Linked DNA regions of Bombyx mori. The protein of the gene in region 2 purifies or fractionates together with the protein of the main gene of each other region. This does not show direct contact. Links are inferred from orthologs where the notes say so. Each region holds a gene or a part of one and is shown on either strand. Other genes may lie near its edges.

Evidence for each region.
Region 1: the proteins of serine/threonine-protein phosphatase 2A catalytic subunit beta isoform (region 2) and immunoglobulin-binding protein 1 purify together in Drosophila melanogaster (affinity purification with western blotting; 3 studies listed by BioGRID, with this or other methods). This does not show direct contact. The link is inferred for Bombyx mori from reciprocal best matches to the Drosophila melanogaster genes mts and Tap42.
Region 3: the proteins of serine/threonine-protein phosphatase 2A catalytic subunit beta isoform (region 2) and HPO purify together in Drosophila melanogaster (affinity purification with western blotting; 3 studies listed by BioGRID, with this or other methods). This does not show direct contact. The link is inferred for Bombyx mori from reciprocal best matches to the Drosophila melanogaster genes mts and hpo.

The regions. Positions count from the first base shown.
Region 1 is NC_085111.1:1,744,300-1,749,535, forward strand, and holds the start of immunoglobulin-binding protein 1, read right to left. Parts: upstream 3,693-5,236; 5' UTR 3,583-3,692; coding exon 3,457-3,582; intron 2,860-3,456; coding exon 2,651-2,859; intron 2,001-2,650; coding exon 1,883-2,000; intron 1,395-1,882; coding exon 1,169-1,394; intron 1-1,168.
Region 2 is NC_085109.1:3,330,708-3,335,404, forward strand, and holds part of serine/threonine-protein phosphatase 2A catalytic subunit beta isoform, read right to left. Parts: intron 2,344-4,697; coding exon 2,039-2,343; intron 965-2,038; coding exon 779-964; intron 1-778.
Region 3 is NC_085111.1:709,275-714,704, reverse strand, and holds the start of HPO (serine-threonine kinase-like protein), read right to left. Parts: upstream 3,693-5,430; 5' UTR 3,214-3,692; coding exon 3,086-3,213; intron 1-3,085. UniProt on the Drosophila melanogaster protein: Plays a key role in the Hippo/SWH (Sav/Wts/Hpo) signaling pathway, a signaling pathway that plays a pivotal role in organ size control and tumor suppression by restricting proliferation and promoting apoptosis.

The DNA.
Region 1 (5,236 bases), on a different chromosome or scaffold from region 2:
AAGACACTGAACATGTATGTTATTTCTGCCAGATAAAACACTTACAATATTAAAATTTATTTATTTATTTATTTAATCAACAATGTTTCAACAGCATTTAACTAGACACAAGGTACAGAGGATATTTTCACAAACATGAGCCAATTAAAGAAACACATTATGTTTCCAAAAAATGTTAACATGATTAATGAACACAGGTAGTAACCTGTAGTACCAACTAAGGTAAAGGTAAGGCAGTTAAATAGGTAGATAAATTTTGTCGAATGATAACTTGCAGAATAAGTTTGAATCTGATTGTGTTGTGTCGATGTGTGTAAGTGCGTGTGAGTGTATAAAGTGGTTGGTTTACATGGACGCTCTAATTGATTATGATTATGTAATTTAAAAAGTATTTGTTTTTTCTTTTAGGGTTTAATCTGTAGTTTTTATGAGAGAGAGGTATATCAAGACATGTATCTATAACCTACTAAAAGACTGGCCTGTCAAGAACTTCTGTAAGCTCCATACTTGATCTAACAGCTGCACTGATATTAAATTTGGCTAGGCAGACAGAGAAATGGAGTTGAATTTAATGCGAATTGATAGAGGCGACTTAAACCTACACTAAGATCGCAATGCCATTGGAATTCTTCAAATTCCTATCTCAGGAACACAATGGACTCGGCATGCGCATGGTAAATACATATATGTTTTTTTTTTTTATTGCTTACTGGAGCCCATAGACATCCACAACGTAAGTGCGTTACCTACCTTGTGATATAAGTTCTAAGGTCTCACGTATAGTTACAACGGCTGCCCCACCCTTCAAACCGAAACGCATTACTGCTTCACAGCAGAAATAGGCAGGGTGGTGGTACCCACCCGCGCGGACTCACAAGAGGTCCTACCACCAGTAATTACACAAATTATAATTTTGCGGGTTTCATTTTTATTACACGATGCTATTCCTTCACCGTGGAAATCAATCGTGAACATTTGCTGAGTACGTATTTCATTAGAAAAATGGTACCCGCCTGAGATTCGAACACTGGTGCATCGCTCAACACGAATGCACCGGACGTCTTATCCGTTAGGCCACGACGACTTCAAATCAGTACTACTAATATATTACAATATAATATTGTACAATTGTAAATTATGCCTTTTCTCACAAAAAAAAAAATTTTACCTTCACCAGAACAACTAATCATTTCCAGTATAGGTTTCTCCCGTTCAATACTGCTAAGTTCATCCAAGACCTCATTGACGTAGCTATGTAACATCGTCAGAAAATACTCTCTTTTAACTTCGTCATCAACAATGGGTGATGACATAGCTTTTGACAATGTACCGAGTTTCTCTTTTAACTCTTTTGCTTCTTTGTATCGTTTTATTTTAGTTTCTCTACTTTGAACCTGAAATAAAAAATTACATTTACTTTACAAAGTAATTAAAGATAACACTTGCTGGCACATGACTCGTATGTACTGCTGTACTCATCAGTTTGATAATTACTATCAGGACAATCAGAATATTTTTTACATACTTTATTTATTATATAATCACACCTGCCTTCACTTGAAACAATATGATAACTAGATAACTGTGGATGTGATGATGGATTGTGGATGTGATGATGGATTGTGGATAGATGGATCTACAAACTGGAATACATACACATAAGTCCAATGATTGCAAAGTTATTTACAATGTAGTTGAAGTTGGAATTTAATGATATCACCAACTAAAGAAAATATGCCAAAAATACTGAATTCTATTTACTACATTTATTGGAAGTCTTGACAAGATCCCGATGACAGATTTTTTTAAATAACCAACTTTGAACTAACTTGCTTAAAAATCTGACCTTTCATTTCATAAGTATAAAGGACAATAATATTACCATTGCAGCTATTATATCTTGCTGGCTCTGTGGTCTAGATGAGGAACTGTTGCTATCACTTAATTGTGGGATCTCCACGTCTGTGACCCCATAGTCTTTGCATCTTTGAAGAAAATCTCTGTGAACGAAACAGTAATTTACTAAAAATAATATCAGCAGACAAAATTCTGATCTTTTACATGCTTTTATTGCATCTTTTAAATGCTTGTTTTACTCAAATGCCACTGCAATCTTACTGCCCAATTAGTTAATATGTAATATAAGAATACACTACTCCAAGGCTGCATCATTCATTGATGTTAATATTATTTGTTAACCAGCATTAGATAAATGAGCAAACAAAGCAGACCTATAATTAAATAGTAACTGGAACCTACTGGCAACACTAGGAAATGAAAGCACTAAAAATCTTGAGACTTGCAATTAAGCTATAATATTAGTGGCAAATCTCCTATCTACCGTTCAAACTGAAAACATGATTTCAGAGATAAACAGGATCATAACATTTAAATCTTCAATTGAATATCACAACATGTAAACCCTAGCCTCAAAATAAACTGGGAAAAACTCAGTAGGCTTATATCAGCTATAAGCCTAATATCTATAAGCTAATTCGTAATAGATGCCAATCAAAAACATTTAGCTAATTCTGTTATGGTGGTAGAGAGCCCTAGATTGTTTTCCAGCATCAGACATAATGAAAATAAGCAATGTGTACCAGATTGATGAACCTAAGCTTATGGTATTAAAGAATATAAATTGGATTACTTGAAATATATTTCCGCTACTTCGATAATATCTTTTCTGGACGGTCTGCAAATTTTCAACGTTAGGGTGCCAAGTAATGCAGGTAATAGCATGTACTTTAATGTTTCTGTAGGCAGCTCTTCCAACTTTTCATTTTTACTGAACATTCCAGAAAGTGACACTAGTTTCGTGGCCTTCTCGAACTTGGATATTGCAGTTTTTATGGTTACCTGTTATTTGTGATAATATTTAAAGCATTTCTAAATTTACATTTAATAGTTTCCATTCATATTTTTATTTTATTTTTATTGTAGTAGTAATTGAAATATGAATATATTATTTATTATAATAATAATAATGTTTTTATTTCAAGTATCCATGACTCATATAAATTGTTAATAAGACTTAGACCTATGTTAGTAGTTATATTTACATCACAATGAATTACTGTGGTAACATCCCATGGGAGATGGCACCACAGCGACCCATGTATATACAGTCCAGCCTGCTTGCGATCATGCTCAGGATACTGTTGGAGCTGGCCCTCACTCTGTTTACCAGAGATGCACACCTCTTACGCATGGTAGCGTAAAAACAATCTATGTGCGCGTCTGCAAACATCCCGGATGCGCTACAAAAGCGGGGCAGCACCACCAGCACCCTAAACGCGTTATTGTATTGAACACGGAGAGCATTGTACGATCTTTGAGTATATCCAGTCATTATGAATTTATTATAAATATATTTGTGATATAATATATATCACAAAATTTCATTACAACAATAAATATAATGTAGTCGGTTAAATATAAACAGCTCTAACCTACCTGAACACTGTCGCTATTCATAGGTTCTTTGACTGTTTCTACAGTTGTATACAATTTCATTCCTTGATCGAATATATTGCTCAAGGAATCTTCTAATATATCTTGCTCTGTATCAACTTCAGCCATTCCGGTTTATTTTAGTTTTCTTTACCAAATAAAATCGGCACTAAAACAATCAACAATTGTCACAATCTGATACTGACACTGACGTCTGACAACAGTGACACGTGACAGTGGGAAACAGTACCGTAAAATGGGGCGATTAGGGACAAATTCCAACTTTATGAGCAATTTTAAGGTAGTTGTTGATGTATATAATGCTATATCAGGATCAAAATGATTGAGTCTTGGGGGCATCTTTGTTGTCTAATTGAAAATTATGCAACTAGCGTTCCAGTTTAAGCAAAAAATGCAAAAATAGGTGTAATCCCTATTTACCCGAAAATTGCGGTTAATTGGGACGAAATGAGAAATTTGCTAGGGTTGGCACTACTTTTATTTTTATATAGAGTTTTAATTAATTTATTTATTTAGTTGCACCAACAAAGTGATCATCAATAAAAAAAATTGAAAAACTGACAAAAGTACATGGCAGACATCACCTCAATTATAGGTGCAATCGACAGTGCTGATATTTCTATCTGGGTTAAGAGATTAGGTGTGTCGGTTATTCCATGGATTAATCAGATGAATACCCCTACTCCGAACAAATATTAAATATTTTATTATGTATTACTTAGACATTTTTGTCCACCTTGAGATTTCATTGATCTTGTTACATGTCTCTGCAAAATCGACTTACTTATATTAAATTGCTTATCTATTTCAACTAAAGACTTATTCCCAATTTCGCTTCGAATAAACCAGATTTTTACCAACAAATTTAAAAAATATTGTTATATCTACATAGACAACCCTACAAACCTGTACCTATTTATACTTAGGTCGTTTCCATTTCACGTATTCTCATCCCAATTGACCTCTTTTTCGTTGTTATTTGTACCTAAGACGTCCCCAATATCCCCAAAAACAACAGATTTTTACATGTATTTTTATTTAATCAAATACATTAAAACCAATAACAACTGAGACTTACCTTTAATATATATGCTGGTTCAAACACTAAATAACGTTTATAAATCATAGTCGTCTTCTATTATTATCAAATAAATCAAAGAGAGCAAAGTTTCTAGCACTAAAATAATTACCACCACAGGAAGTTAATTTGAAACGCGATTTTTTATAAGTTAGTAGCTATTATCATGCATGTTCAGAGTTGTTTTGTGAACTTTCAACATTCTACTATTAAACTACAAAAAATGGAAGATTTTGCAACGAATATAAAACTTATATTGAGCGTCGAAAGATTTTCCCGGTTTTTTCCCGATTCGCCTCTCAATCCCTAATCGCCCCATTTTACCGGTAAATTATGTTAATTAATTTGCTTTGTTTAATTCGTCAGGCAAAGAAAACATCGCTTTTACAAATAAGTCTGAAGATTGAAATGTTGGACTCAAATCTTTGTAGCAAAAATATATTGAAACAAAGTGAAATTAACCTCTTCGTAAAATGTTGGCAAATGACCAATATTTCATTGGTAATTTGGTATTTTTTTAAAAAAAAACGAGTGCACGTGTCCTGCGACTTAATTCAAATACACAATATTTGGAACTTTCACTTTTTAAGCAGTCAATGAGTCACAACTAGTTAATAATAATATTTAATAATAACTAAATTTAAAATTTTAACCTATAGCAATACTTAACTAAAAAAAACAATT
Region 2 (4,697 bases):
AGCAGTTTTTTTCCCATCTTTCTAAGGACAAATGTCAATTACAGAAGCAAAGAGAAAATGGTGGTAAGGGTTTTTGTGAGCCCGCAAGGGTAGGTATACCACTCAGCACATTTTTACTGCGAAGCAGTAATGCGTCTCAGTTTGGATGTACTGTAAAACTTAAGACTTAGAGCTCGTGTCTCGAGGTTGGTGGTTATATTTACACATTTAATGTCCATGGGCTCCAAATCCCGTTAACATCAGAAGGGCCGTGAGCCCTAAGCAATAAAAAAATATAATACATGGCATACACATTAATCTCAGAATACAGTCATTAAAAACAAGAACCTCATCAGATTGTTATACATCCACTTTAGTTGAACAAAATTTATGAAAACAATGATTTTCCTTGGTCATTTTATAATCAAGGAAAAATGTATTTATAAAAAAAAGGAATATTATTTTAATACAGGATTCAGATTCTATTACTATTTCGGACTGTAACAATCTACTGCAAGCCAGAAATACTGTTTACTTTCATTTCTCTCAATTAAGCGATGGTGTTGATATTTCTGTTCCTACATATTTCTTTATTAGAGCAGATGGGCAGAGGACTGCCAACACGATGGTTCCACAACCCACTTGCCAGTTCTAGTTAACATCACAAGATTGAGATCTCACATCGATCGGTCTTGACTACATTGGAATAGTAGTAGTTGACTACATTAGTATACGTAGCTGGACGTTTGATGCTGTGCGGCACAAATAGGCCAATGATAAATACAAGTTGCAGCCGTACCTATAGCAGTAGTTGGGCGCTGAGAATATAGTGACGACGTTTCTGTCGTGGCACCAGTTGTACCCCTCCATGACGAGCTGGTGGGCGCGGGACACGAGCGTGAGCCCGTTGCTGTGGTTGAACGTCTCCGAGATGTCCTGTCCGAACGTGTAGCCGGCTCCACGGGGAGATATGCCCCATCCACCTCTGTGTTACAAACAATAACTTTATGACGTTAATTTAATTACTAATTGTATCGTTAAACTATAAAATAACAATAAATATTGGAATCGAAATTAAATTTTTTATATGTTTAAGACTTCTCTCAAAGCGACGTCTACACTATTATTCTTTTCTTTTTTTCCTTTTTTTTATTGCCTTTGTAGGCAGACGAGCATACGGCCCACCTGATGGTAAGTGGTCACTGTCGCTCATGGACGTCAGCAATGCCAGAGGCAGAGCCAAGCCGCTGCCTACCATTAAGTGCTCTCCGCAAGCCTCGTTTGAAGAACGACATTTCATAGCGCTCGCAAAACACCGTGGAGGGGAGTTCATTCCAAAGCCGGATGGTACGGTGTTCGTGAATAAAGGGATTGAAAAAATACTTGTCAAAGCAATTCATTGCAAGAGACACTAAACTAACTACTACACAGCACGTGCATACAAGTGGTATCCATTTAGTTTCAGCTATAGTATTTTAAAAACTATTGTTGCTCGGTAGATTCTATTCTAACCTTTAAATAAGTATAATGTTTACTTCGGATTTCGCGAGTCGTAAACATAATTAAAACTATTTTTATGGTTTAATCTCGTGTTTATTACATTTTATTATTTCCGACGTTTTGAATGCTTTAAGAATTTTTATGGTTTAATCTCGTGTTTATTATATTTTATTATTTCCGACGTTTTGAATGCTTTAAGAATTTTCGTGGTCACGGAAGACTGATCTGAATACTAAATTACATCTAATACGAAATGACCAAATTAAATTTATGAATTTTACATTAACTGTTTATTAAGATAGCATTAACACTAATCATACCAACACTTACTGATACCTATTTCTACCATAGAGAGTAGATAACGGTATACGACAAGCATTACTCAAAATAAACAAAACAAAACAAAGAAATAGTTTAATAACTTTAGATTAATTGGTGAGAAAAGTCATGAAATCAAATGTGCAAAAGCTATAAGATGATACGTGCTTTTTCAATGCAAAAGTTCAAAATGGGTAATTTGACCCGTTTTCGTATGTTTAGCGTTAATTGTTTTTCATACCTGTCATCGGGATCACTCCAGAGGAGATCGCACATGGGTCCTTCGTGGGGCACTTCCTGCAGACGGTCCAGAGCTCTGATGTGGTCGAGGGTGTCGATTGACGGACTGAGTCCACCGTGCAGGCAGAATATCTGTCCATCTACGAGCGCCGTCAAGGGCAGGAAATCGAATAGATCGGTGAAGTGCTTCCAGACGGACGCGTTGCCGTATTTCCGGAGACACTCGTCGTAGAAGCCGTACACTTGAGTAATCTGACGCGATTCGTGATTTCCTCGCAGAATGGTTATTCTCTCGCGGTAACGCACCTGCAACGAGATTGACGCGTTTTATTACCTGTCACTTGACAAAACCATCATCGAACGTCCATAATACGTGCGCGTGGACTTACACAAAACAAATTTACCATCTTAGATTCTCTATTTTAAGATTTGCGCGAGTGGCAATATGATTTATGATAATTCAATTAGCCGTGGCACGTTCTTATTACTAAAGGCTCTTTCTTCATGCTTACATACGTTTAAATATAAACATTTACAGATATTACATATCTAGAAAAAAGAGTAAAGAAACCTGTTCCTTCACACGAATGTTTACCCAGTGTGGCAATTGAACCCGACTCAGCAGTCTAACTGTCTGACTACTGCGCCAGCGAGTAAATTATTTTGAAAAGTTAAAATCACGAAATCAAATTGGTTAAGACTGCAACATTTATGTTTCTGTAAGTTTATTATTTTGTATTATATTCATCGCCTATGGACTTAGAAGCATTGTTTTTCAAGATACATAAAGATGAAGATACACATCACCATTTTCACAATAATATTTAGTTCATGAAGAATATGCATGACGGTTGTTATTTTAAGGTCGCTGTATGCATTTAAATAGAGACCTTGCAACTATTAACATAACGTTCAACGAAACGATTACAAGTTACGAATTGACTTAAGTTTACTTTTGACTTATCTATTCTTCGAAATTTATCTACCTTTACTTACCGGTGATAACGGTTATTGTGAGCCCTCAGAGTAGGTACCATGATCCTGGCTACGTCTACCACGAAAAATTAATGCGTTTCAGTTTAAATGGCCCGCCGTTATTCAAGGCAACTGATAATTCGACCTCATGAATCAAGATGGTTTTATCCATGAAGCTTTATTCAGGCTGCAGTAACCACTTAACAACACATGGGCAGTGAGCTCGTTCACTATCTAATGCAAATATATATAAAATCGGAGGCAATCAGTTCTTCTGTGCATTTTTCACAGTTCAAATTCAATATGTGATAAGTAAAACATTGTATTTAAAAAGTTCAATTAAGCCTCCCCTCCTTCCACGAGATAACGTGAAATCGCTTATTCATAAAACATAATAATCATTGCAAGTCGAGTCACGTTGTACAAGATTAATATTTAAAAAAATCTTTGCTGTATCGTTTGAGTTTTAATTGTACACTCTTAATTCCTCATGTACCTTTTATATATCATAAACTAAAACTAAACTAATTTTGTAATTAGCAAGTTTTATATTTTACTTTTTGAAATTCCTAATCGTATCAAACAAGCTTGAGACGCATTTGATGGAATGTGGTCACAGCCGCCCATGGATGTGTTAAGACGCACAACCATGAGGCTGTCTTGTGGCTAGCAAAAACTTGCACACGCCCCGTCATGACCTATGCAAGTGAAGTGTTCGCTCACTCGGCCCGCACTAACTTGAAACCCCTTCAAATCATTCAATCCCGTTTTTGCAGAATAGCCGTCGGAGCTCCATGGTTCGTCAGGAACATCGACCTCCACGACGACCTGGATCTAGAGTTCATCAGCAAGTATCTACAGTCGGCATCAATGCGAAATTTCGAGAAAGCGGCACGACACGAGAATCGTCGCATCGTGGCCTCCGGTAACTACATTCCCGATCCTGCGGACCGAATGGTACACAGTCAACGTCGCCCAAAACACGTCATTTCGGAACCTCCCGATCCACTAACGGTGCTTATAGGTACCCCAAGCATCGGTCATCGTTTTCGTCGAACCCGTCGCTTGCGACGAAGGGCTCGGCGAGTAAATTAACCCACAGACACAGCCCATTGAGTTCCGATCCGGTGGTAGATTCTACGAAGCACGGCTCTTGCTAGGGTTCGTGTTAGCAACAACGTCAGGTTTGAGCTCACCTACTCGCCCGGTGCCGCTCATATGGTCTCTCAAGACCATCAGCTTAGGTAGGAAAAAAGTGGCTAGCTGGCAAGGCCGGAATTCACTAGTATTTTCTATATCGATATAGTCAAATTTCGTTCATATAAGATAAAACAAACAACGTAGGCGGTGATCGAACTTTATCATTGATTGAGACAGATAACAATGTTTTCTTCTTCATTACAAATACTAATTCTCTAAAGGACAAGTTCCTAAAAATCGCCCCTTGCGAGCCTTTTGGAAAGTTACGTCTTAATTTATTTATTCCATCTGCAATGTGCTATTCATTTGCTTCAAATCTGGGAATGTGTAATATTCTGCTTTCATACTAGATTTGAAACAAGGACGTTTTTTTTTTTAAACACAAATCACTGTGATAGTTTTAGCCAATAATCATCCTTCCCGTTATGATACATTGTCAATGATTTCGGTATTGGATCGTCGTGATATTAACGAATTAATCGCGA
Region 3 (5,430 bases), on a different chromosome or scaffold from region 2:
AGTGTAAGAAAAAATTATTTTATTGTAAAAAAGCGTGGGGTGCATGGTATAAGTAGTTATAAATATTTTATAAACAGATATGAGTAGAAGGGTTATTTTGATAATATCCTGAAAAACACCCCACGCCTTTTAGTTAGTTTTGTTAATTTTGTTAGTTTTTTAAAACTATTATTTATTATGAATGTCAATGAATCGTTTCTCGATTAGTTTACATTTTAAAGACCGAGTCAGCGTTCCGTACCGTCTCCCAATGTGCTGCTCGTTAATCCCGTCTATGGAACGTCGTAAAACTGCGCCATTACAACCGATTTTAAACAGAAATAAACTTTAACAAACCATAAGCTTATTATGGGCTGAGGTAACTGCTTAAAATCAGGTGGACAATGATCTCGTCAGCCTATTCAGGTTAATGAAGTTGACAGTCAAGCCAGCGACCACTCTTTTTTATTACTTAAATGAGTGAACAAGCTCACGACCCACCTGGCGTTACGTGGTTACCGGAGCCCATAGACATCATTAACGTATAGGTATGTCGCTAAGCATCTTGAGACATGAGTTCTATGTCTCAGTTTTTTTACAGTTTTTTACAGTATCCTTCAAACCAAAACGCATTACCGCTTCACGGCAGGGTGGTGATACCAGCCCGTGCAGACTCACAAGACACCCTACCACCAGTAAAAAGTAGATAATATAGATCATAAGTTACATTGCGTAGTTAATGAAACTCTCAATAACTTCCACGTAACATTCTATAAACAAACCGAAGAGACAAAACGATTCAGACAGACATACATCAATGAAATTGTATTTAGAAGATAAATATACTGGACGGTAGGTACCGTGAAATGACTATTATGAATATATTAGATCAGCTGTGACAATGTAACATAATATTATACATTACGTGTACGCTATGATTCATGCTTCAAGTAGAATACTATGAGTACATATAATCAATAATTAGTTTTCGAGATGAGGGAAGGTTAAGCAGAAAATAATCGATCTCTTCCATGACACCGAAAATTGCAAAGAATTCGAGTTGTCGAAACTTGTGAATTACTGGTGGTAGGACCTCTTGTGAGTCCACGTGGGTGAGTACCACCACCCTGCCTAATTCTGCCGTGAAGCAGTAATGCGTTTCGGTTTGAAGGGTGGAGCAGCCGTTGTAACTATACTTAAGACCTTAGAACTTATACCTCAAGGTGGGTGGCGCATTTACGTTGTGGATATCTATGGGCTCCAGTAACCGCTTGACACCAGGTGGGCTGTGAGCTCGTCCAGCCATATAAGCAATAAATAAAAAAAAAATAATAATCATTGGTTTATACCGTAACAGGTATTTCAAAAATTCAATTTAATTTAAATAAATATTCTTTTCGCTTTCTCCATTTACGTTTCAACTCACATCGGTTGTTAAAAGCTCATCGTTAAAGATAACACTGCATTCTTTAATAACTTAAATACGTACCATATGCTGATACTATGACAAGCAGTCATTTACGTAAAGCATTTTACGCGGTAAACCAAAATTATTGATGAGAGTTTGTACATCAACGAAAGTTCTCGAAATAATTCCAAATCCAGGTTTCTGCTAAGATGCTACAGTTCTCCAGCGCTAATTTCTAAGTAATAAACCCAATACGTGTTCATGAATGACTTTCACGATTTAAAAATAATATCGTGGTACAAAATTAAATACACGTGTGGCTATAGAGCGGGTTGTATCTGACCAATTGACCCACTGGTTTGTGGTATTGATGGTCTGGGGAACTGTTTTGCACGAAGTGGGCTGTAAACTCGTCTCGGCCAAACCATACCCAAAAAATGCTCCTAATATAAAGAAAACCATGGTCGACAGATAAAAAGGTTGTTAAGATGCGTGAATTATCTTTATTCTGGTTCTTTATATTTATATCAATAACAAGATTGTGTTTATGTCTTCATCCGATTTCTCCAGTATTGTAATCGGCTTCCCGGAGTGCCATTGTTGTCAGCCTCGGGTTCAACAAACTCTTCTTTTTTATTACGTACTTTGTTTTACGAAAAGTTTAATGATCGAAATGAAATGAAGTTGGTTTATTGCAAATTAATTATGGTATGAATTTTAATGAAACACGATGAAATAAGTTAGCGTCCTAAAATAGTGGGAATTGCAATGATACTTCAATGAGCTTCTTGTTAGATCCCGAGAGGACACATGCAAGATTATTGTGAATTTATTTCATTAAGCAAAACCAGATTGAATACTAAATGAACTAATTCAAACAATTCTCAGAATTTCATTCCTCTCGCTCCCGCCAGAAAGTTTGTTTTAGTGTCATTAATTTTGCCATGCAACATGAATTGAATTCTTAGCATACGTTGAACACGTGATTCTTACAGACTTACAAACTGAACGCGACAGGAATATCACATTCAATTTTCACAATACATTAACTCTACTCGTAATCAAACAGTTAGAAAAATGTTGTGAGATCATGTCTACCAACAGACGATCGATCGGACCTAATATTGCGATTAAACAATGTCAGATCTCCAATTATGAGAAATAGTGAGAATCTTTACAGTTATATACCGCTAAGTGGCGACTCAGCGATGAGAAAATCGTACGAGCACCAAACAGAAACAAAGTATACAAAAAAATCGTATATCAAAACGGATGCTACGATAACAAACAAAATACAACTAACTATTCAAACAGTCATTATTTCACAAGGAAAAACAGGTTTCCGATACCGACACAAGCTATTTAGTTACGGGGAAACGGAGACGTGATTCATTCTAAAATTATTTCCCGTGTTACAGACGATTCCAGTTCAAACTTTAAGTATTTTACTCTATATTTTCATACAATTGCTGCATATTATAAAGCCCTTTTTAACGTTTTGAGGCACTCATCATATCACAGAGTATGTGCGCGATACTGCATTGAGCCGTATCTATATTCAAATGTTAAGCGTAGTAAAAGAAGTTGTGATAGCAGATAGTATTGGTAGACTTACTAAGCCTGATCTCATCATCATCAAGTTATGGTGTGATGACATTTCAAACATTTCATTGAATAAATATTGAAATGATCACAAACCCTTGAGGTCGCTCGTTGGCGCTCATCCTGTCCGCGCGACGTTTCTTGCAGGTGTTGCAGTTTAGGGTTGGAGCTCCGCCCTCCCACACTCCACTCTTCCAGAATATTAGACGACCCTCACTGTCCATGAGGGTGCGGAAATCACACTATCCCATACATAGCGATTTTCAAAATACGGAGATTGTCGCCAGCAAAATTATATCGGTGAAGGCGTCAAAGATTCAGCTCTTTACACAATCTTCAAGATCACTGGTGCACCGTAACTCGTGAACGTCTCTTCACAAATGCATGCGATAGTTTATTTGTCGTGTAAACATACGACATGCCTATCGTTTGACATGGGGTTTACGGTCCATGTGGCATTCGACACACATGTGTGCATTAGATAAGCATTTTGTATCGATGAAAATATCGTCTAGAAAACGCATCGAACCATTAAAGTTTTTGGGTTTTTCAACAGTTTACATAACAACCAAACTGCGAGACAATCTTGATGAGAACAACAAAACTTTACGCCGAAAATAAACATGTGTATCTTTTGTAAAGATTATTATTAGCTCATTTTATATGGGAGACAGCGTGTCCGCCCTCGTCGACGTCACAAACCAGACTGCGTGAAGTGAACCCAAAAGCAATTTACTTCAGGTTTCACAGCATTCGAGTGCTCAGAGTTCAAAACTCGGTCTAGACAGTATTCAGATGTCTAGATATTGCAAGAAAAACGAAATCTAAAATTCAATGAGTCTTTTACATTATATAAATAAGTATTAACTTGACATAAAACAACAGAACGATTCTGGCAAGCGATTAATGAAATAAATATTTTAGTGGAAGGTAGGTAGTCCCATACTTCTCAGATGTTCAAAATTCCTAAACACCACAACTCACACATCTCTACAAAGTTATTTCACGAAATAATGACATATCGAAACGGGCACGTGAGCTCTAGTTATATGATGATGCGGGGTGTTGGTCTATCTATAAATAAATTTCTAACTAGCTACAACATTACAACTCTAACCTTTTTATTCGTTTTTTTTAGCACCAACAAATATAAGTTTGAGGTCGTAAATAGCAAGTATTGGGTATCACGAAAAAGATACGGAGACCCAGGCGTATATTTTGGCAAATCGATACTAAATATTTAGTAGCGATTCGGTAGCCACGTGAAGTCTATTTACCACTAACCTAACCGATACTTCCATCCGACCGTTGTTGGAATGGGAGAAATCGTAGAATGACGATTCATTTCTTATTTTTCTGTGATGGATAAAAGTGTATGGTATCACTCAAAATGTGGATAAAAGTGTACGGTATCACTCAAAAGCAAGTTAACTATATTAAGTGTTTATAATAATATTTTATTGACGACAAAATGACAACTGAATGCTCATTATTGTCTAACTTAGGTAGTACTTAACGTATTGTAAATATCTAATTAACTACATCAAAATATTTTATACGGAAAGAAAAAGGAAATTAAAAAACCGCGCTACAAGACGTAGCTATCAATGAGGGTATCTTAAGAAAAATATGTACTAGTGTTTTAGAAGAACCCAAAATCATATTTAATTGAACAATGCCCAAAGAAAAACAAACATAATTTGCAGCCCATTAGAAAAAGCAAGGGTAATATAGTTTCAATTACAAGTATGATTAATGCCGCTTCGAATGACATAGAGGCATAAATTAAAGATAAGTTTGAGATTCATCCACAACGGCTGGACGTTGTAACTGAGTTCTGTAAAATATACCAATCGGTCCAAAACATCATCGTCTATATTGTCTGTACAATCGGCAAATGACATGATCCTAAAACACAGCTAATAATTAGACAAGCTGTACTTGAATATACTAACGTGATTCAATTGCGAAAAGTATGAAATGAAATCATGAAATCACCTAAGATTATTAATTACCAAAACATGCGATTACCATTACCATTCAAATTGTCAACAATCAGGATATTAGTTGGGCTCACAGAACAACGAATATAAAAATGAATGGACAAAATAAGTTTTCGGTAGCTATGTTCATAATCTCATAAACGAACACCTACAAGAACATCATCTAATTACTAAAGCAAAATGATAACAGGCGTTTCGTTAAGACCAAAATAGCAGAACAGTCGGCAAAACGGTTTTGTTTTCGTTTACCACCGACCAGTTCAATGAACGGAGAGCCTGCGTCCGAACCAATGCCGCTTGTGTTTCATACATTGTTATGTTAAGTACACAGTTTACGGAACTCAGGAAACATTACTCGTAGAATAGCTCTGCTTATAGTGGTAGACTCTTAGGCGTTACTGCACAATATACAACGCTCGAGTTGCAGTGGTGTTCTTT